Rattus norvegicus: one gene and its partners. The protein of the gene in region 5 interacts with the protein of the main gene of each other region in a pairwise test. Links are inferred from orthologs where the notes say so. Each region holds a gene or a part of one and is shown on either strand. Other genes may lie near its edges.

Region 1 (4,113 bases), on a different chromosome or scaffold from region 5:
GTTAGCAGATTCAGAAACGTCTTCCGTAACAAACGGCTAACTACATAAAACTGTAACTACAGTATGGAAGTTATTTTAATCAAATGCATTATGCAAAACCTTTAACCCATATTATTCAAGATCTGCCATGACTAACAGTCAAAATCACAAATTATTTGTTTTTAATTTTTTTAAATATGACCCCTACTGAAAACACAAACCAGAAACAAATGGACTGAAATACAATAAAAACAACCAAAAGAGGTCATTTGCAGCCCACAGCCTTGCACACTAAATGAAGCAGGCACAAGTGAGGAGAGGTTTGTGTCTGTCACTAAGGAGAAGGCAAAGTAAGGCACTGTGAGAGCTCAGTGCTTCTAGAAACTCATCCCAAAGAATGGAATCATCTGGATCATTTTTATTGCCCACCTCAGTCTCAAGACTGTCTGCACAGCACTGCTGACGTGCACTCCAGTGTGCACCTTCCTTCCCTTGGAGTATGTGTGTCAAGTTTATTTATAGACAATGCCTTCGAATGCAACGTTTCCAGGTATGAGAAATAAAATCTCTACGGTGATCCTAGAAACCTTCACAAATAGCCTTTGAGAAGACAATGGAAAAAAATCTATAATGCAACACGTGCATTATGATTCGCTGAGACTCCAAAGCACACTCACCTTTCACTCTAGTGAGCATGTGTAAAGAGGCGGGTAGAGTTACAGAACTGATGTGGGCCCTGGACGTCTTTTTATGGAACTATCTGACTACTCTAGGATTACCGCCGCCACCTCTTTCCTCCTCTTGTTCTCTTTTCTCATTAGGAATTCTCTGAAATTTAGGCACCCTCTTTGTTTCTTAGTGAGATGCTTTTCTAGCCAGGAGCTTTTTTAAAATAACCCATTACAAAAGCAGGCCATGCTTCCCCCTGCTGGGAAAAAATTAAATTACAAGGTGCATTAGAACAATTTTCCTAAGTCTCAAGCAACCTTGTGTTTGGGAAAGAAAGAAACAGCAGGAAAGCAGATACTTAGTGGTCTCTTAACTGTTTCACTGGTCAAGAATATGCACCACACCTCACTCTAGTAAGGCTTTTATCTACATCTTTTAGTTCTGTAAGTTTTAAAAGTACAATTAATACACATTAATAACCGATGGGCCAATTATTGAACCCTCTGTCCCAAAGAGAGCTCCGGTTATCAGGTCAGAGAAGATTATGAATCTGTTTTCATTGCTCATTGAATGGAAACACTTCTGAAGAACGGAGTGAAGCAAACAATCAAAGAATACAGTTTTAATCTGTCCATGTTTATTGAGTCAATATCTTCCGATATGCAGCCGTTGTTCTCCAACGGCAGAGAAGAGCGTCGTTCATGACTTTAGTTTTTCAGTTTCATTTATTATCATTTGATTATTAGGTTGTGGTATGCAGGGTTGCATTTCACTGCCTAACTACAAAGCCAGCTTCTCCCCGTGAAAACAGTGTGAGTATTTAGAATCTTCCACATTTTTCCTGGCAGTCTTTCACGAGATACTTTGTTATTACGGGTTATAATAAATAGCAACCGCTAAAAATGCCAAAGTAAATCTAATGTCTCTGAATCATCTGAGGAGTAAATTTTTTCCTAAGATGCACAACTAAATCTCAAATGTATTTTAATGCTGAGGAGCTGGAAGAGAGAAAGATGTCACTGATTCTTCTAGTGGGTAAGACCTCAAGATCCTAAGCTGCAGGGTAGCCAGTCTGAGGAGGAAGCACTTCATCACTAACGAAACGTTCATCCAAAAATTCAGCAGTCGTGTTAAATTGGAGAGTGCAGGGTACCAGGTACCAGAGATGACTTCACTTGCTACCATTGCTTCACATAGATGGAATAATTGGGGTTAATATTTCTGATGGAGAAGTTTTCATGTGCACCTTTTCTCAAACGACCTCTCAAAGCAATGCAAAAGGCAAGACATAGATGTTCCTCTGGGAAACGAATCTCCGCTACAACACAGGTACACAAAAGAAAACGCACACCTGGTTTAAAAACCAGTTGGTCAATTATGGAGCGTTCCGAGGAACCAATATCTTGCATACTACCCAGCCATCACGTTTCGAATACGTTTATAAGCACTTTAGCCTCTGCTTACCATGCTCACATAAATATACGAACATGCATACTTTACTGTTGATTAATTCTAAGACTTTCCAGGGGGAAATAGCAATTAAAGGGTATTAAAATCACTTCGAAACATAGAAGGAAAAAAATACAATAAATAAATAACGCTGATCTGTGACCAAGATGCTCTCAGAACACTCCACGGATCTCATTTACTCCTGTACTGCTTTTGCTGTCTTCTGCAAAGTGAAAAGGTACCGATGAGCCACCTGACACTTGCTGGTTTCCCTGTCCAGGACCCTAACAGGTCGCACCACCCTGCCATTAGACCTCAGGGCTAATTGAGCCTCGGAAGAGCCTGGCCAGCAGCGCTGCGCTCCAGCATTCGGAAGCAGCTCTCAGAGACAGTTTCTACCCAGCGGAGCGCTCGCCCTCCCCAACTTCGCCCTGTCGGGGCTGGCGGTCGCCGGGGCCGGTCCTACCTTCCGCCAGAAGGCGCGACGCGTGCACAAAAGATGGATCAAGGCTATCCTTCTCTGCCATCAGCTCAGGCAAGTATTTCTCTTCTCCCATAGCGCGGACTTCGGACCGTGGCCGGCCAGGCGCAAATCCCGCCTGCTCGGACGCCTCGGTCCCTGGTTCCCCCAGGAACCGTCCTTCCTGCGGTGAGCGCAGCTCTAGCGCCTCGGGCTGCGCAGACCGCGCTGGTACCTGCCTCTCCCGCGCCCCAGCCTGGCTCCGGCCGCGGCCTCAGCTGGAGAGGATGCCCGCGCGGCCCGCCCCCGCCAGCCTCCTATTGGAAGCGGGGTCCGGGGGCGGGGCGCCCGCGGAGGCGGTGGACTATCATTGGCCGGGGCCTCACGTCGAGTCGCCTGAGTGGCAGGAGGCTGCTGCGGAGGGGAGGGGTGTACGAAGTGCAGGAGCACTCTCCAGGCCGCCTTTGCGGTCCCGGTTCTCAGGCCTGGCCAGTGCTGTGGAGTAGGGGCTGACTGTTAGGCAGGCAGGATGGTGAGAGAGGGAGAAATTGCGCTCCAGGAACACAGAAGTGAGCACTTCACCAGGGTCCCCACAGCACAGGTGTCTCTCCCCTGGCGGATCGCAGGCTCATGGGCAGGGTTGGAAATCCGAGGCAAAATGTGGGCTGTGTTTCCCATGACCTACATCATGAGGCAGAAGGATGTCCACTGATGTACAAATGAAGAAGTGCCTGGATTCTATACTAGAGCAAAACGCTTCCAGTGTACATCACCGTAATACAGAATTAGTTCTAGGGATCCACCCATCCCTGTGGTGGAAAATTTGCTCACTGTGTAAACTTAGCGGGGAGGATTGTGAATGAAAGAAGCTAGATGGTGTCTAACTTCTGTCACTCTGATGTTCTCATATTTTAAACCTGATTGAGTCTCTTTCCCTGCCTTGGGAATGTTGCTAAAATATTTTATATCTCCCCTACCTTTATTCAAATGAGCATTTTGCCCCCAAGGATCACCAAGAAAGGAGGAAAAAATGTTTCCTCCCCTTACAGATGGGACCCCTGAATTGTACCTTAAATACTTCAAATGAAAGGAGTCTTTTCTCACTTTGAGGTTGTCTTTCCCCTAACATTCCCTTGTCAATTCTTCTACCTGTTCAACTGGGTAACTTTCCGGGTATATAAAACCTACTGGACGTTTCCTAACTTCTCTTATTCTATCCACAGTGTTCCTGTAATGGTTTATTTTAGATGAACTTGGGATATTATGTTGACTTTGTGTGACATTTTGAAAAGTTATCATGTTTCATATCCAGTAGATAACTCACTCCAGCTCCCAAAAACACTGAGCAACAAGGGCCCAGAGATAACCAGATTTTGCTTCTGTAGTTGATGTAACATACCTCATAGCTGTGCCTAAGCTGAGGAGAAAATTCAAATCTAACCAGGAGGAAGCTTCAGGAGGCAGGGTTTACCCTACCCTCCCATATGCTAGATACTTATATACTGTGCATCAATCCAATTAGTGGTTATACATACTGAAAGGGGTCTAGAGACCGG
Region 2 (4,308 bases), on a different chromosome or scaffold from region 5:
CTGCTAACTTGTGATGGATCCTATAAACTACATAGAAAGCCAGGGGAGGGAACATGCATCTCTAACCTTAGCACTCTTGAGGCAAGATGGAAGCTAAAGATCCCCCCCCCCCAAACTTACGGGTCACTACCCTGGCATGAGGGATGGACAGAAATGAGAGATCTTGTTTCAGAACAAGATAGGAGAACACCAGTTCCCAAAAGTTACTCTGTGACCTCCCCTCAACACTCACACATGTACACACTCCACCTCCACCATCACCACCACCAACAAAAACAGTACTTCACTACCCTAGCTTTGATGGCCAGCCTTGCCTGGGCACTAGGATAGCCTGCAAGGCCCCTTCATACTGAGGGAAAGGGCTCAGGATATGAGACCTCTCCACTCTTTTCATGCGTCTTTACCCGGTTCATTTCCTGGGTTACTATGCTTACCCCGAGGGCCCGTAGCCTCAGGATTTACTGATAATGGCAGAAGTTCCAGAGCCTGATGCAGGAGTGCTTTTCACATGATGACACAGGGCTGAGCTGCAGCTCAGTGGGAGAGCACATACTTATTACGCACGAGGCCCCAGGCTGATTCCTCAGCTCCACAGAAACATGTAAAATGTCAGAAACCTCAGGGAAAATAACTGGTAGGTTTGATTACAGTTTTCAAAAAACCAGGTTGGGGAGCTAGCTTTCAGGTAGAAAGTCTGCCTGGTATGCATAGCCCTTAAATTCAATCTTCAATATGAGGGGGAAGGGAGGGAGGGAGGGGACACTTTACAACGTCCACCTAACCAGGCCTGGTGGCTCATGCCTGGAATCCTGTCACTCTGGAGGCACCACAACTCTGAGGCTTGCCTGGTCTACATACTGAGTTCCAGACCAGCTAGGGCCACATAGTGAGACCCTGTATCAGAAAGCAAAGGAAAAAAAACCGAAAGAAAAAAGATGATAAATAAAACAGAATTAATATTTCTTTTTTTTTTTTTTTTGGTTCTTTTTTTCGGAGCTGGGGACCGAACCCAGGGCCTTGCGCTTCCTAGGCAAGCGCTCTACCACTGAGCTAAATCCCCAGCCCCCAGAATTAATATTTCTAACGCACTAGGAGCACTGGAATTTAGAAATGTTACATGAATAAAAATGTTACAGGCTGAGGAGTGGCCAAAGAAACTAAATGGGGGGGCTAAGTATGGCAGTATGGCTCAGTAGGTAAAGTTCTTGCCTGCACAACTTTATTGAGCACCTACTATATGCCAAACACTGTATTTATTATACAGCAGAATTTTATATTATATGGTAGTAATCAAAATAATCTAATAAAATAAAGAAGAGCAAAACACTGAATGCTATCTATTCCAGGGACCCTGACACCATCACACAGACATGCATGCAGGCAAAACACCAAGGCACATAAAATTAAATACACCTTAAAGGAAAGGAAAAGTTACTTCAGCAAGGAGAACAGCTGAGGCACTGGAAGGGACACTGGGCCAGCCAGAGACAGGAAGCAGAGCTGAAGTGAGGTCTCTAAATGCTGCTGACACCCCACCTTTGCTACAAGTATTTATTTCCTTTTCCCTGCCTCCAGCCCCATAACCTAAGACACCCTGGAAGTTCAGAGCCGACATCAGGGCACCAGCACTGGGCTTGTGCGGAGTGAGGAGGGGGCGGAGTTCAGATTCACAGCATCCACACCAAAGCCGGGCACATGGCGGCCTCACTCTGGTTCCCAGTGCTGGGAGTTGGGGTGGAAGATGGACAAGGGCATCCTAGCTATTGAGCTCACCGGCAGCCAGCCTAGTCAGTCAGTGAGTCAGTGAGCTCCAGGTTCAGGGAGAGGCCCTTACTCAAAAAATGAGGGGGAGTGACAGACACTTGATGTCCCTCTCTGGCCTCCGTACACACACACACACACACACAATCAAAGAAATATGAATGTGTGATATTACAGGGGAGCGGTCTGTCCTTATAGGGAAATGGCACAGACACAGGTTTGGTTTTGCCACCAAATGAAAGGGGGAGGTATGTGAGCCCTTCCACTGAACTGCTGGCATTCCTGGCTCTGGGACCCTCCTGGCAGGTTCTTGCCATTCTTCCACAATTCCTTATTGAACATGTACTCTGTCCTATGCACTGTTCTAAGTGTAGGGGATACAGCAGTGATCAAAACAGGGGAACAACCATGCAGCCAAGGATTGCATGGTGGCTGATGGGCAACATCAGTGGGCTCTCAGGCCAGGGCAGGCCAAGTCAACCACCATCTTGGGGTATTGCATGTCATCCCTGAGAGCCTCAGAACAGAACACCTAATCACCACCACTCTCGGCTCACAGCGGTGATTGAGACCCAGAGAAGGAACACTCTTGTCGAGCTTGTCACCGTCAGAGGACAAGGATGAGATTACGCAGCTGTTACAGACTCTGCCCTAGCCTCACCTTTGTCTTCTGTCGTCCCATCCTCTTGGGGGCAAGAAGTGTTCACTTAGCAATCTTGGGGTTAGTATTAGCACTGGATACGGGCAGGGGATCAGTCATGGGCCTCGACAGCCAGCATGCCCAGATACCTTGAGTCTTTACCCATCAGTGTGGTCTCAGGGGTGCCACACACTGCTTTTGGGGGCTGGACTGGGTAGGGGAAGTTGAGTGGGCGGATACAATATGAATCCTTCTCAGAAGTGAGAGATCCCGTGGGTGGAGGTGCCTTGGAGTATTTAGGCCATGATCAGCTGAGCAGGGGGTTAGGGAACTGACTCCTGGCAGCCACAGGAGGGTCACGTGGGGTGAACCTTGCTCTGCCCAGTCTTGGGAAAGTACAGAGTTCTCCATTTAGCTGGATCACCTAGGCAACACTGTATGACATCACAGGCCAGAATCGGTCACACGGATGCAGTGCAGCAGGGTGGAGTCAGAAGCCCTCTTCTCTTTCCCCTGCACTGACTGGTGACCAGTCCCTGCTATCCTGTCCTTAGTGAATGTGACTGGATCACCACACTGTGTGCCCAGTCCCTCGTTCTTACCACAGCACAGAAGACCGATCACTATCCTCAGAGATGATGCAGGGAAGTTCTATAGGTAGTCACCTAGCCTCCTTGGGCTCAGCCATTAAAGTGCCTGCCTTGTAAGCATGGGGACCTGAGTTCAGATCCCTAGCACCCATGTAAAAAGCAGGGCTGTAGTCATCACTGGGAAACGGTGGTTGGTGCATCCTGAACTCACCCGCCAGCCTAGCCAGTGGGTGAGGTCCAGGAGAAGTGAGAGAACCCACCTCTGGCCTGAGACTGAGAAAGAGACCTGACATCATCAACCTCTGGCTTCCACGTGCACAAGAGTAGACGTCTACGACCACCATATGCACGCAACTTCCCCCTCGCCCACCATGAACATGCTCACAGGCATACAACACACCAAATAAACATTAAAAAACTCAAGGAATGGTTTCTTCTTGGAGGGCGGTAGAACTATGGGGGAGAGAATGGGTAAAGGACTGAAACATACATTGTTGGTGACACACTAAGAATCGCTAACATTTTTCTGTGTATTGTCTGCATGCATGGCTGTGACCACATTGTGTACATTGCTGGCAGAGGTCAGCTGGATGAAGTGGGAAACATGAGGGCTCAAGTAGACATGTGATTCAAAGTCAGGCTCTTTTCCTCCCAGTTCCAGGGGCAATCCATCTGTACAAGTCCCAGGACAGTGCCTCTCCATCTTAGAGACCCCAGCTAGGCTTCCCTTTTCCCCTTAGAACCTGGCTTCCCCATCATCTCCATTTCTTTCCCCTCCTGCTGAGTGGCAGGGTTGGATAAGGTAGGAAACACAGGTGGTGTGGGTTTTGGAGCAACTCACCCATAGCTGTGTGGCTGTAGATAAAGTATTAACCTCTCTGGGCTTTAGTTCCCTCCATCATATGATTAGGAATCAGGGCCACTCTAGGAGCTGAGACAAAATGCTCACTCTGGAGCTTGGTTTTGCCTAGCAGACATGGACTGGAGAAATAACAGATGTCTGCAGATGCTAGCCATATACTTCTAACCCGGTGCTTGGTCGTTACACCCTCCTCCAGATACCCTAGCCTATTCATTTCTGTTCCCAGGCTGGTTCCCATGGCCACAGCAACACCCCTTCTCTGTAGGGTCTCGCTTGCTCGGGACCCTCTTCCCAGGAGGTTCAGAAGGAAAGCAGCCTCGTTTGTGCATGGCGACAGATGCCTTAGTTTGTGTGGTTTTGGGGTGGCTCTTACACTGTGTTTAATCCTCAAAGAGTGAGGGTTGGGGGCTTAGCAACGTCACTATTCCTCTTTAGGTTTTTATTTTGACAGCTGC
Region 3 (3,510 bases), on a different chromosome or scaffold from region 5:
TTGGGGGGATCATGTATCAGATATCCTAAATATCAAATATTTACACTATGAGTCTTAACAATAGCAACATTACAGCAATGAAGTAGCAACGAAACAATTTAATGGTTGGAGGTGAGCACACCATGAGAAACAGTCTTAAAAGGTCCCAGCATTAGGAAGGTTAAGAACTACTGCTCTCGGGAATAACTTGTTCCAGGTTGGTCTTATTTATGATTAAATTATATTAAAATGACTCCTTAAATATCCATACTAGTAAGGTAGTTCTCAAAATGCAGGGCTAGGGACTAGTCAGTCTTGTGAAAGCTTACTCAATTAAGAGGTGGGAAGCAAGGGTCACTTCTAAGCATCTACCGCCCTAACCTGAACAGGGCAGCACTGGGTTAGAACCCATCTAGTAGCACACCAACGACAATGCTAGGCAGTCACAAACAAACATTAATATCTTATTCCACAGGAACAAAGTTAGACGTTAATACAATTTGACTTGGCTCTTCAAAGACCTAAGGTAAAAGGGTTGAAGAAACTGTGTGTAAGAGAATGAAGATGTTACAGTTCATAGCCGCTCATTTCTGAGCTAAGTGTACCTGGTTGCTTTTCTGCAGCTCTTGTACCTTCTTAGCAAACTCCTTTGCCTCCTTCTGACACTGCTGTTCTAACTTCTCTACTTTCCTTTGAATCCTTTCATCCATTATCTGTAGTTCTTGAATATGATTCACAAATTCTTCTAATAACCTAACAGAGGAAAGTAATAGTACAATCAATTTGCCTATTATTAGCCATAAGGAACAGACCAGTTTTATGAAGGTTTTAGTAAGGGTCCTCTGAGACAGGGACAAGTGTATTCACTTTCTTTACAGCATCTTGTTGCAATTTATTTAATGTCATAGCTTTCTTTCCACTTAGAACAGGTCACGTGACTTTAACAATACATAGCATTAGGAAAAACAGCCAGTTGTTATTGACTTTGCAACGGATTATCTCTAAGGTAAATAAAAACCTGAACAAATCCCCATTAAATATCCAAACAAGCTCTACTTTATTTAAAATTCAAGAAGACAAACGTACAACAAAAATTGTATACATTATAGACTTTATTGACTGTTTCCCTGATTTACAGCTATTAAATTTAAAAGAACATAGTCAACTTTTTCTTATTATTAATTTGCTTATTCAGGATCAGGGTTTTGCTATGTATTCTAGGCTAACCTCCAACTCACAACCCAGCCTCAGCCTCTAGAGTACTTAGATCGCAGGTGGTCAATACCATACCCACAAGTATAACCAGCCTTTTCTAATTTAATGCTAAGTGGAAAAATTAAATTCTTAATAAAGGATAAAATCCTTTTACCCAATCAGCTAAGGAAAAACACTATTTCAGACTTCTAATGCTGTTAAGAAACTTTATTTAAAAGATTTATTTATTTATTTATTATATATGAGTACACTGTCGCTGTCTTCAGACACACCAGAAGAGGGCATCAGATCCCATTACAGATGGTTGTGAGCCACCACGTGGTTGCTGGGAATTGAACTCAGGACCTCTGGAAGAGCAGCCAGTGCTCTTAACCACTGAGCCATTTCTCCAGCTCAAGAAATTTTTGAGGTGGGAAACAAACTATTAATTAAAATTATTTTATATGAATACTCAAAAGAATTCCAATACAGTCATCTCTACTCTAAACACAATTCGTAGTACTATATGGAGACTGTTTTGTTTTGTTTTGTTTTGTTTTGTTAAGTTTACCTTTTAGGATCAAAAGCTTCAGGTCCACCCCTAGAACCACCTCCCGGGGTTCTCCACACGAGACGTTCAATGTATTCATCGGCCACAAAAGGCTCCTGGTTTATAGAATAAACATATTTTAAAAGGGCTTTTGTTGTCGTTGTTTAAAAATCTTCAATAAATAAAGCCAATTGTTTAAAGAAAAGTAGGATGCTAAAATATTAGAACAGCATTACTGACTAGTAGGATGAGCCAAATAGAAAATGAGGAAAGGACATAAAAAGGTAATTTGTTAAAAAACAAAACCAACCAACCAACCAACAAACATCTCAAGCCAAAACCAAAGCACATGTACAGTTTTATTAACAAAGACAAGTTCTCTTTCTTCGGGATGGGGAGAAGAGGTGAGGATGAGGGGGATAGCATATCGCTATGCAGCCTTGACTGGTCTGAAACTTGTTATGACAACCAGGTTGACCTTAAACTCACAGAGATCCTCCTGCCTTTGCCTTGCCAGTGCTGGTGGAATTAAAGATATGACATGCAGCAAGTTATTATTTTTTAATCTAAGAAGCAGAGAAATATATTTTAATTACAGAGCTCAATGTAGCAAAAAGAAAGTAAACTGAAATTTGCACTTTCATTACGGTGGAAAATGTTAATAGATTAACCATTTAAGAAGACAGCTGGCAGCTGTTTTGGTAAAATCAACAGTGTTACACACACTCAGAGCTTTAACCTCATAATTTTATTCTCTGATCACTTGAAGATTGAGGCAACATAACAAATTCAAGGCCAGTCTTGGTTGCATAGCAAGCCCTGTCTCAAAATTTTAAACAGAAATTAAAAATAAAATAAATTTGCAAGGAAATGCATATATAAACAATTCTGGAGTAACTATGCATTATGTGTAATACTCAAAATTATTTATTTAAATATTTAATGAAATTGTACTTAACATAGTAGGTAAACTTAGATGAGAAGCTATGTTCTATTAAAAAAAATCACATAAAGCAACATTCAATGAAAAGAGAAAACCTGTATACACTGTAACAAGCATATTACATTTTCTCAGAAGAAGCATCATTATATTACAACTGTATAGGTTACTGAAGTAGACGGTCCAATCAAAACTAGTGACTATGCATGTTAGGCAATGTGCTCGCCTGCAATCCCAGCACCTTCAAACTTCTGAAGGACAAAGACTTGTGAAGGCAGTGAAAGATGAGGCCACGGAGTCCCCTAAGATTATTAGCAGGTTTCTTATCACACTAGAAGCCAATGCCAATCAGTTCAAAGTACTAAATAAAAATAAATAAATAAATAAATAAGGGGTTGGGGATTTAGCTCAGTGGTAGAGCGCTTGCCTAGCAAGTGCAAGGCCCTGGGTTCGGTCCCCAGCTCCGAAAAAAAAGAAAAAGAAAAAAAATAAATAAAAATTAAAAAAAAAGGCAAAGAATCCTATAGCCAGCAACATCAGCATTCAAAAGCAAGGGAGAAATTGAAATGTTTCTAGATCTAAGAAGGGCTGGAGAGATGGCTCAGTGGTTAGGAACACTGGTTGTTCTTCCAGAGGTCCTGAGTTCAATTCTGGACAACCACATGGTGGCTCACAGCCATCTGTAATGGGATCTGGTGCCTTCTGTATGTCTGAAGACGGCTACAGTGTACAATGTTCCTAAGTTTAAAACATAGGCAGGCAGGTGGACAGACAGACAGAGACAGACACACAGATAAGAATATGTTACCACTAGACCTGCCCAGAATGTAAGGTGAAATAAATGGGC
Region 4 (4,250 bases), on a different chromosome or scaffold from region 5:
CAGAAGCCATCAATGTCCCCAAAGCTCCTGTTAGACAGCACCCTGCCACCATCCCCTACATAGAAGCCCTCTGAGGGGGCACACTTCAAGTTGTCCCCTACCCCACCCAGCCAGACACAGTTATTGGAGCCACAATTGCCCGCCTGGCTGCCCGGAACTCCACCCAGCAGGCCCTGACAGGCCACAACCTGTACCCAGGTCAGGGTCGACTAGAGAGTGGCCAGAGGTGGCACCAAGGATAGGCCCAGATGCTGCCACCTGGCCAGGAAGTGACAGGGACTGAGACCGTTGGCCCCAGACCGGGAACCACAGCTCTGGGATCCCTTTCCATTCCGGGAGACAAAGATTGGGGCAAACTCACCGATGGGCACTGAGGAGTTGTGGCCTTGAGGGCTGGGGTAGGCACCCGGAGGTAACCCCTAACACTTCCGCCAGCATTAACTGGAGGCCTCTGTCTGGGGGAGGACAGGAAGCCCGGCCCGCCCTGCCTGCCACCCAACCGTCACCTCCCCGCCCAGCACCCCTGGGACCTCCCCACAGTCACAGCACAACACACAGATGGGGGAGGTGAGGGAGCAGGCCGGGGGCGACGTGACTCTTACCAGAGAGACACTTAGACACCCACAGATCCTCTACCTTGGCCCGAGCTGGGTCTGTATGCCCATGAGGGGAAACTGAGGCTTGGAGACAGGTGAAGCCTCAGAAGGGGAAACTCAAATATTCTTTACAACTTCTTTAGGATCAACAGATTAAAGTATGTTTTTAGACATGGCCTCATGTAGCCCAGGCTGGCCTAGAAATTCTCTATGTAGCAGAGGATGACCTCAAATGTTTGATTCTCCTGCCTCCTCCTCTGGGCGCTGGGGTGACAGGTGTGCACCACCATGCTTGGCTTTGTTTGGTACATAAATATTAAGTACTCCAAGGCATCTCTCAGTACCACGTTCTTGGGGTTTGGTTTGGTTTGTTTTAACCTGTGTGATATGGAAGGACATTAAAACACCACTATAGGCCTCTGAAATATTTTGGCCTAAGACAGTTTACCTAATGTAACCCAGGGCTTTCTGGCTTCTGCAATACTAGAATAAGGTCTAGGGACAGACACTTACCCAGAGGCACACAGCAAGCACCCCATCCCTTGACAATGAGTCCCCAAAACCTAAGGCTTGACTGTGTGAACAGCACCAGGGAACTGAATCAGGCAAGACCAGACCAGAGCTGCACTCTGGGGGTTGGATACAGGCTGGCTGTGCCCACAACCATTGACCCCTTGTTGTGTGATTTTCACTGCCCCCCGAACCCCAGCAGGATTCCATGGGGAAACTGAGGCCTCTGTGCAAGCCTTCGGCTGAGTCATTTCATTTGTCAAACATACTTTGAGCACCACTGTGTACCCAGTCCGTGGGCTGGTGACTCTGGTCACACCCTTTAAAGACATCCCACTGCCTCCTTGGCTGTGACCCCATTTAATGGATGCAATATCATAATTACTACCACAGGAGTGGGTGTTTACAGCGTGTCCTCACTTCCACAACCACCTCTGATCTTCCCACAGGGTTTCGGCCCATTTCACAGAAGGCTCAGTCAGTCCAGTCTGAGCACACAAATTTGGGGGTGTCAGGCTTCCTGCCTGGAACTTACCCTACTATCCTGCCAGAGGCAAGGACTAAGCCTGGGACCCCGCCCAGAAACCAGCCCAGGAACCCTGTTGTAGGTGATGGTATGTGGGTCAGGGTGTGACCTGGGCAGTCACACGGGTGGGACTAGGGTGACAAAGTGTGGGTCTTGATTGGAGGCAGGTCCGTCTTATGGTCAGATGAAAATTGTCCTCTCCTGGCCTTAGATCCCTCTGCTCTGCCCCAGACTAGACTGTACCCATCAATCAAAATCATGGTTTGTTTTGGTTTATGCTTTTTTTTTTTTTTATGAGGCAGAGTCTGTCTATGTAGCCCAGGCTGGCCTCAAGCTGCAGACCTTCCAGCCTCAGCCACCGGAGGACTGGAATGACCACACCAGGCTCAACTAGGAAAACGGAGTCTACCCTAACATTTGACCGAAGATTGTGGTCCCCACCTGGAAAAATGGGGCACAGGTATTGGGAATCTGAGACAGTTTGGCTTCCTCAACCTCTACATTCGGAAGAGGAGACTAAGGGTCAAGGAGGTGCTGTCACCTGCCCAAGGTCACCATGAAAGGTCCCGCGATGCTGAGGGCAAGTGGAGGGGCGGCACCCCGACCTTCTCTGCACCCTGACCCTCATTCACCTAGTCTAATTCTGTTCCTTGAAGCAGATGCCAGCCGCCCCCCAACAGGGTGCGGGAGTCCCTGGTGCGGGCTCCAGGCCTCTCCAGGCCCCGCTCACCAGGGAGGGGATCCCGCGCTCCATACTCCAGATACCCTGTAGCCCTACCACACTCGCCCGGCAGAGCCCCCACCTGCCTACCAACCCCAGGGTGGGTGCAATTGGAGGAAGGGGACCCCGGTTCCCTGGTGTGGATGGGGGGCAGCGAGGGAGGCGGACCCCAGCTTAGAACTAGGGATCTGCAGGCTGGAGACCAGGAAGAGAGATTTGGGAGTCCTGGGGGGGTCTCACCCTCCCAGCCCGGGATTGAGGGATGCAATGGAGCAGCGCCCCGCCTTCTGAAGGCGGCACCTACGCTCGGGCCGGGTCAGGATAGAGCTATGCCCCCGCCCCGCACCCCCGCCCCGCACCCCCGCCCCGCACCCCGCACCATCGCCCCGCACCCGCACTCCGCGCCAGGGACACTCACCGCCTCTCGCGGCCGCCACCTGCGCGCTCCAGACGCGCGCCCCGCCCTCCCCTTGAGCTGCGGAGCGCGCCGCTGGCCCCGCCCACGGGTGTGGCCAGGAGGAGTTCCGCCCCGCGGTGCTTCATAAACCCTGCACTGGTTGGCTGAGCCTGGACACTCACCCGCAGGCTATTTGCATATTTTAAAGCGACAGGAGACGCTCCTTGCTTTCTGCACCTGTCATTCTTGCAGGAGGGAGGGTGGGAAGGAGGGAATAGCTTTTACTGAGTACCTACTGCATATATGGCTCTTTGGAGAACTCCTCCCAGGCTGTGAGTGAGATGACATTTAATATTGAGCCTCATTTTACAAACAAAGGCACCAAGGAACAGGGCTAGGAGTTGCTTTGGAGGTCAGAAAGCCACTCTGGTCCATACATTCATATGACAGGCCATTTATTTATTCAGCCTGTGTGTGCTGGTGATGAAGCCAGGCTGCCCCAGTGCTAAGCAAGAGCCACATACTCCTCTCCCATATGACAACTTTGAGAGACTTAACGACTCCCTGACCTGGGCTCTGTTTCAGTCTCCCGTTCAGGGACACAAGGCGGCAGCATGATCCTCAGGATACCTGAGCCACCTGGTCCCCTGCCCAAGAAGCACATCCAAGAATGTGGGACCACTGGGCTCGGGACAACCGGAAAGCCATGTGCCTTCATCTTAGGTACAGGCCCCTGCAGCTTTGGATCATGACACCCCAGTTTGGACATTTCCCTGTGGCTGGGGATCAAATCCAGGTCTAACCCAGCCTGAGACTGCCCCCACTTCTTACTTGAACTGCAGCTCTGCCCCAAATGACGCTAGGTTCCAATGGCAATCACGCACATCTGAACACCAGCTTCGGGGCCGACGAGAGGGCTCAGCAGGCAAAGATGTGTGTGGCAAAGCCTGGATTTGATGAGGAAGTCCTGAAAAGTATTCTCTCACCTGTGGGATGTGCACACTACCAATCAATCAAGTAATCATCTTTCTCATCAATTCGAACAATAAAGATTAAACACTTGGATGGGCTCCCACACCCAGTTGCCTCGAGGTAAGAGAGCCTGCTCTCCATTTATGAACCCACGCCGTTTCCATTTTCCACATGTCCTTTTTCTGCCCCAAGAGCCCTCGTAACACTCAGACCTCTAGTCACCTTTGGCATCTGGGTTTTGAGAATGGTAACAACAGCATCTCCCTCCCCTCCCCCCATAAGTGTGTGCTCACACACCTTTGCCATGTACACGGATGGAGTGGGTGAAAGTTCCAGGAGCTGAAGTGAAGCCATCAGAGTCGAATGGAAAGGGCTTTGACCTGTAATCACTCTCATCTGCCATTGGCTGGTTCTTACGGCAGGTGCTGGCCTAGAACTCAAGACTTGATGCTTCAGCCTATAAGAAAGCAGTCCCAACGAGCCATAGGGAACAAGCCAGTAAGAAGCACCCCTCTGTGGCCTCAGCAT
Region 5 (4,262 bases):
GATCGACCCTTCCCCACACCTTATGGGGAGCTGAGCTAGGCTGGGTAGGTGTGAAGCTACTGAGTAATGCATGTTGCTGTTCTTAATCCCAATAGGAAGTGGGTAGTGCTTTGTCTCTTCCATGAAAGAAAACGCGAGGCCTGGCACAGTTCTCGGAAGTAGAACATTCATTCAACATGTGGGCCAGAATTTGATCCTCAGCATGAAGTAGCATCCCCCACCACCACCCCCACTCCCACCACCACCACAGCACTCCCCCACCTTAAAAAAGAAAAAAGAAAGAAAAAGAAAAAAAAATCATTATTTCCCAGGTCACTCACCCTTATAGACTTTTCAATTTCCTTTCCCGTCCTGGGTGTGCAGGATCACCCAATCATGAACACAACAGGATCAGCCAGAGTGAGAAGGGTTGCCAGGGCCACTCTGGAGACAGGGAATCCTTGGAGCTCTCAAGGTTCAACAGGAGGAGGAGGGACAGACTGGAACAGTCACAAGTAGGGCTACTAGGGATTGGGTAGCATGGGAGGTGAATTAAAAGAGGCCCGGGGGGGGGGGGTTGGGGATTTAGCTCAGTGGTAGAGCGCTTGCCTAGCAACTGCAAGGCCCTGGGTTCGGTCCCCAGCTCAAAAAAAAAAAAAAAAAGAGAGAGAGAGAGAGACCCTGGGGGCCGCAGAGCAGGAGGGAAACCTGGGAAAGAGGGTGGTGGAGCTGTAGAGGCCCTGGTGGTGTGGGCCCTTCCTAGCCATTACTCACCCTTTGTGTCTGCCCCTTTTGTGTCCTTATCTGGAGGATAGGACAATACTTGCTTCTTGATCTGAGGTCTATGGACCACAGACACATCTCCAAGATATCAGAAAGCATTCTAACCCAGCTCACGACACACACAGATGGTCATGCCCTCATACCCCTTGGTTCCCTTTGGCTCTCCAGCTGTCATGCTGTGGTCTAGCATGCTGTCATGGCTGGCTTCTCCAGGATAGACTGTATCTGAATGTCCTCAGCTCAAGGAACCTGAGTTGTGGCAGAAGCTCAGGCTGGGGTATGTTCTTTAAGTTCACAGGTCTCATGCAACCCTCACCCCCTCAAGCCCCACCAGTTTCTTCTTTGTCTCCAACTCATGCCCTGCCCGATTTCCTTGATACCATGCCTAGATCTAGTCCTGTTAGCATCTAGAGGGTGGACACCTGCTCAGGGAGGCGGCGGTCATGAATGTCAAGTCTTTCAGGGGGACGCTTTCTCCTTTGGCAGGAGGGACCAGCCAGTGTAAGGGAGTTTGTTTTTGTTTGCATGTAGAAGAGCCATTGCTTTACTCTCTACTCTGTTCTAGCAACCTGCCCACCATCTTTGAAATCTCCCTCCACTGCTCCCCTCCCCTTCCTTTAGCTCCAAGACTCACACCTCAAGGGGACAAGGCTTCAGTTGATACCTGTGTGCTCCCCATCTAATAGGGTATTCTGTGTAACTGTGGCTAGGTCTTGTCAAGGGGTTGTTTAGCTGACAGGCTTTCACCGAGTGTGAACACATAGCATGGTCTTATCCTGTAGATAAAAGAACAAACAGGGGCTAGAAGGGCCTTCAGGGTGGAGCTAGGTTAGTCCATCTCCAATCAGTGCCGGGTGTGGCTGCTCTCCTGCCCATCATAAGGAAGTAGGTGTGACTGGCTTTCTGGGAAAAGTTCCTCCTACCTCTCCCAGCAGTAAGTGTCTACAAGTAGGCCACAGTTGGCTCTGCCACTAAGCCTGCCATGGTGTCTTTGGACAAGGCTCACCTGGGTCCTAAGTATGTGGGCCTCTGGGACTTCAAAGCACGAACGGACGAGGAGCTGAGCTTTCAGGCAGGAGACCTCCTCCATGTTACCAGGAAGGAGGAACAGTGGTGGTGGGCCACCCTGCTGGATGCGGAAGGCAAGGCCTTGGCTGAGGGCTACGTGCCCCACAACTACCTGGCTGAGAAGGAAACTGTGGAGTCTGAACCGTGAGTGGCCCTGGGGAGTTGGCACAGAGGGAGGGGTGGGTGTCCGTGGGCACTGGAATGGACTGGGGAGGCCAGAGGGTGTAAGATCCTACTTGACATTCAGCTGGTCATACTCTGATCCTTAACATTCTGGTACACAGTGTTGCTGATGGGGCTATGCTTCTGAGCAACACTTGGGGACAGGGTCTCTATTTTGGACTCACCTATGATCACTTCCCAGCCATAAGTACTGCTCTGCTAGGACCCAGATGGGTCCAGAGGGGCCTGATGTGGAATTTTAAGATGTTGTCTGTGAGGGACAAGATCTGTGTGGGAATTCAAGAGCTGTTGGGGGTGTGAAGTTTGCTCATTTTCCAAACAGCCAAAACCAGATGTGCAACTTAGTTAACTAGGGAGAAAGAAGGCTGCTGGGGCACACCTATTTATATCACCTGGCAGGGGGCATATGTTGCAAACACCACAGTGGTAAGTGTTTACATGTTCTCTGAGGCACCCTAGTCCACTGTTCTTGGCCTCCCACATATCTGAGCCCTTGGAGGCTTTGAGGAACTACAATAGTGACTAGTATGGGCATGTTCACAGGCACCCAAGGACCCAAGCTACGTAGGTTGCTCTGGGCTAAGGCTATGAAGGGTCCAGCAGCAGCGGTTTCTTACTGTTTTGCTCTTGAGACCCCCCCAATGCCTCATCTCACAGTGAGTACCTATGGTGCTCAATGAAGATTGTGAACACACAAACAAGAAACGAATACTAAATAGTACCTAGGACAGTTCCAGAGACAGAGACTCAAGACAGAAGTGAGGTAGGCATGGGTGGTGCGCATAAAAGAATGAGGAGAGCCAGGTGCCTTGAACACTCGGGAGGTAAAGGCAGGTGTTTATCACTAAATTCCAGGGCAGCCTGGTGTGTGTGTGAGTGTGTGTGTGTGTGTGTGTGTGTGTGTGAGAGAGAGAGAGAGAGAGAGAGAGAGAGATCAGACAGATAGAGACAGAGAGAGAGAGACAGAGACAGAGACAGAGACAGAGACAGAGACAAAGACCATGTGGCCAATATAGCAAGGGCAAAGGCCCTGAGGTCCTGAGAATCTAGCACAGGCAAACATGTCAGAGGAGGGGAGGGGCAAAGCAGAGGAGGCAAAGTGGTCAGAGGGGAGAGTGGGGCAGATTCTGTACTCTGCAGGACCCGAGCAGGTGGGCTTCAAGGGCTTGAGCTAGATGTTAAACTCTTTTTTTAAAAAAAAGATTTACTTATTTATTATATATAAGTACACTGTAGCTGTCTTCAGACACACCCGAAAAGGGCATCAGATCCCATTACAGATGGTTGTGAGCCACCATGTGGTTGCTGGGAATTGAACTCAGGACATCTGAAAGAGCAGTCAGTGCTCTTAACCACTGAGCCATCTCTCCAGCCCTAGATGTTAAACTCTTACGTGGAGCCTATGATCTGACAGCTCTTGAGGGAGTTGGAGACTCCGAGGGCAGAGATCACCCATGGAATTCCAAGGACTTTCACCTGTAGTTCAGTTCAGGCATATCTCCATCCCTTTGGTTGGAAGCCAGTATGATAAAATGGCTTTGAATGGGAGAGTATGAGCATGGGGGCTACCGTGTCTGTGCATGTACATAAGGGCGTGCTTATCAGAGTGTATGCAAGCTCGGGTTAGTATGAGAATGTGAGTGCACGGATGGGTACACACACAAGTGTGCAACATGAGGACATGGTCAGTGCAATGTGAGTGCACAGTTGTGTGTGGAAAATATCTATCAAACATGCACTTGTATTTCAGTGCATGTCTGTGCACACAAGTGCACATGTGCAAATGGCTATGTGGTTATATGCACATGTATGTGAAAATATGAGGCAGGAGGCAGGACCAGGGAGCTGCTGTTGAGACTTGTCTCCTGCTTCTGGGCCAAGGCTGGTATCTATAGCTTAGGGCCTACAATGTGTTAAGGGACATTCACAACATAGAATTGCTTTTAAAGGGGAGGGGACTCTGATCCCCAGGTGGTCATCATGCAGAGCAGGGTGGAAGGCAGTGTTTGCCTGTCCCACTTCTGAGCCTCCGGGACCTTTCCTGGTGTCCAGAAGCAGACATTTAGGACTCTCAGGATCCATGATGGGCAGAGAGGCCTCTGTAGGGTTGGGAGCAGCACAAGAGGCAGCTTAGCTGGAGTTGGGAGTGTGAGACGGGAACCAGAGGTTATCTAGGACTCCAGGTAGGCAGGGCAAGGGTAAGTAACAGAGACAGGATGGGTGTGGAGCTGGGGTAGAGATCGGCTAGG

Evidence for each region.
Region 1: the proteins of Ptk6 (region 5) and Khdrbs2 interact in binary tests that used the Homo sapiens proteins (3 or more experiments, as listed by UniProt). The two-hybrid records come from large-scale screens. The link is inferred for Rattus norvegicus from reciprocal best matches to the Homo sapiens genes PTK6 and KHDRBS2.
Region 2: the proteins of Ptk6 (region 5) and Ccdc33 interact in a two-hybrid assay, tested with the Homo sapiens proteins (2 studies listed by BioGRID and IntAct). The two-hybrid records come from large-scale screens. The link is inferred for Rattus norvegicus from reciprocal best matches to the Homo sapiens genes PTK6 and CCDC33.
Region 3: the proteins of Ptk6 (region 5) and Exoc5 interact in binary tests that used the Homo sapiens proteins (3 or more experiments, as listed by UniProt). The two-hybrid records come from large-scale screens. The link is inferred for Rattus norvegicus from reciprocal best matches to the Homo sapiens genes PTK6 and EXOC5.
Region 4: the proteins of Ptk6 (region 5) and Fcho1 interact in binary tests that used the Homo sapiens proteins (3 or more experiments, as listed by UniProt). The two-hybrid records come from large-scale screens. The link is inferred for Rattus norvegicus from reciprocal best matches to the Homo sapiens genes PTK6 and FCHO1.

What each region holds. Positions count from the first base shown.
Region 1 is NC_086027.1:41,941,762-41,945,874, reverse strand, and holds the start of Khdrbs2 (KH domain-containing, RNA-binding, signal transduction-associated protein 2), read right to left. Parts: upstream 2,806-4,113; 5' UTR 2,655-2,805; coding exon 2,564-2,654; intron 1-2,563. UniProt on the Homo sapiens protein: RNA-binding protein that plays a role in the regulation of alternative splicing and influences mRNA splice site selection and exon inclusion. Binds both poly(A) and poly(U) homopolymers. Phosphorylation by PTK6 inhibits its RNA-binding ability.
Region 2 is NC_086026.1:67,410,686-67,414,993, forward strand, and holds the start of Ccdc33 (coiled-coil domain-containing protein 33), read right to left. Parts: upstream 2,801-4,308; 5' UTR 2,444-2,800; coding exon 2,423-2,443; intron 1-2,422.
Region 3 is NC_086033.1:24,821,440-24,824,949, forward strand, and holds part of Exoc5 (exocyst complex component 5), read right to left. Parts: intron 1,840-3,510; coding exon 1,745-1,839; intron 733-1,744; coding exon 585-732; intron 1-584. UniProt on the Homo sapiens protein: Component of the exocyst complex involved in the docking of exocytic vesicles with fusion sites on the plasma membrane.
Region 4 is NC_086034.1:18,461,893-18,466,142, forward strand, and holds the start of Fcho1 (F-BAR domain only protein 1), read right to left. Parts: upstream 2,807-4,250; 5' UTR 2,772-2,806; intron 2,093-2,771; exon of another isoform or gene 1,935-2,092; intron 1,721-1,934; exon of another isoform or gene 1-1,720. UniProt on the Homo sapiens protein: Functions in an early step of clathrin-mediated endocytosis. Has both a membrane binding/bending activity and the ability to recruit proteins essential to the formation of functional clathrin-coated pits.
Region 5 is NC_086021.1:188,690,416-188,694,677, reverse strand, and holds the start of Ptk6 (protein-tyrosine kinase 6), read left to right. Parts: upstream 1-1,453; 5' UTR 1,454-1,744; coding exon 1,745-1,974; intron 1,975-4,262. UniProt on the Homo sapiens protein: Non-receptor tyrosine-protein kinase implicated in the regulation of a variety of signaling pathways that control the differentiation and maintenance of normal epithelia, as well as tumor growth.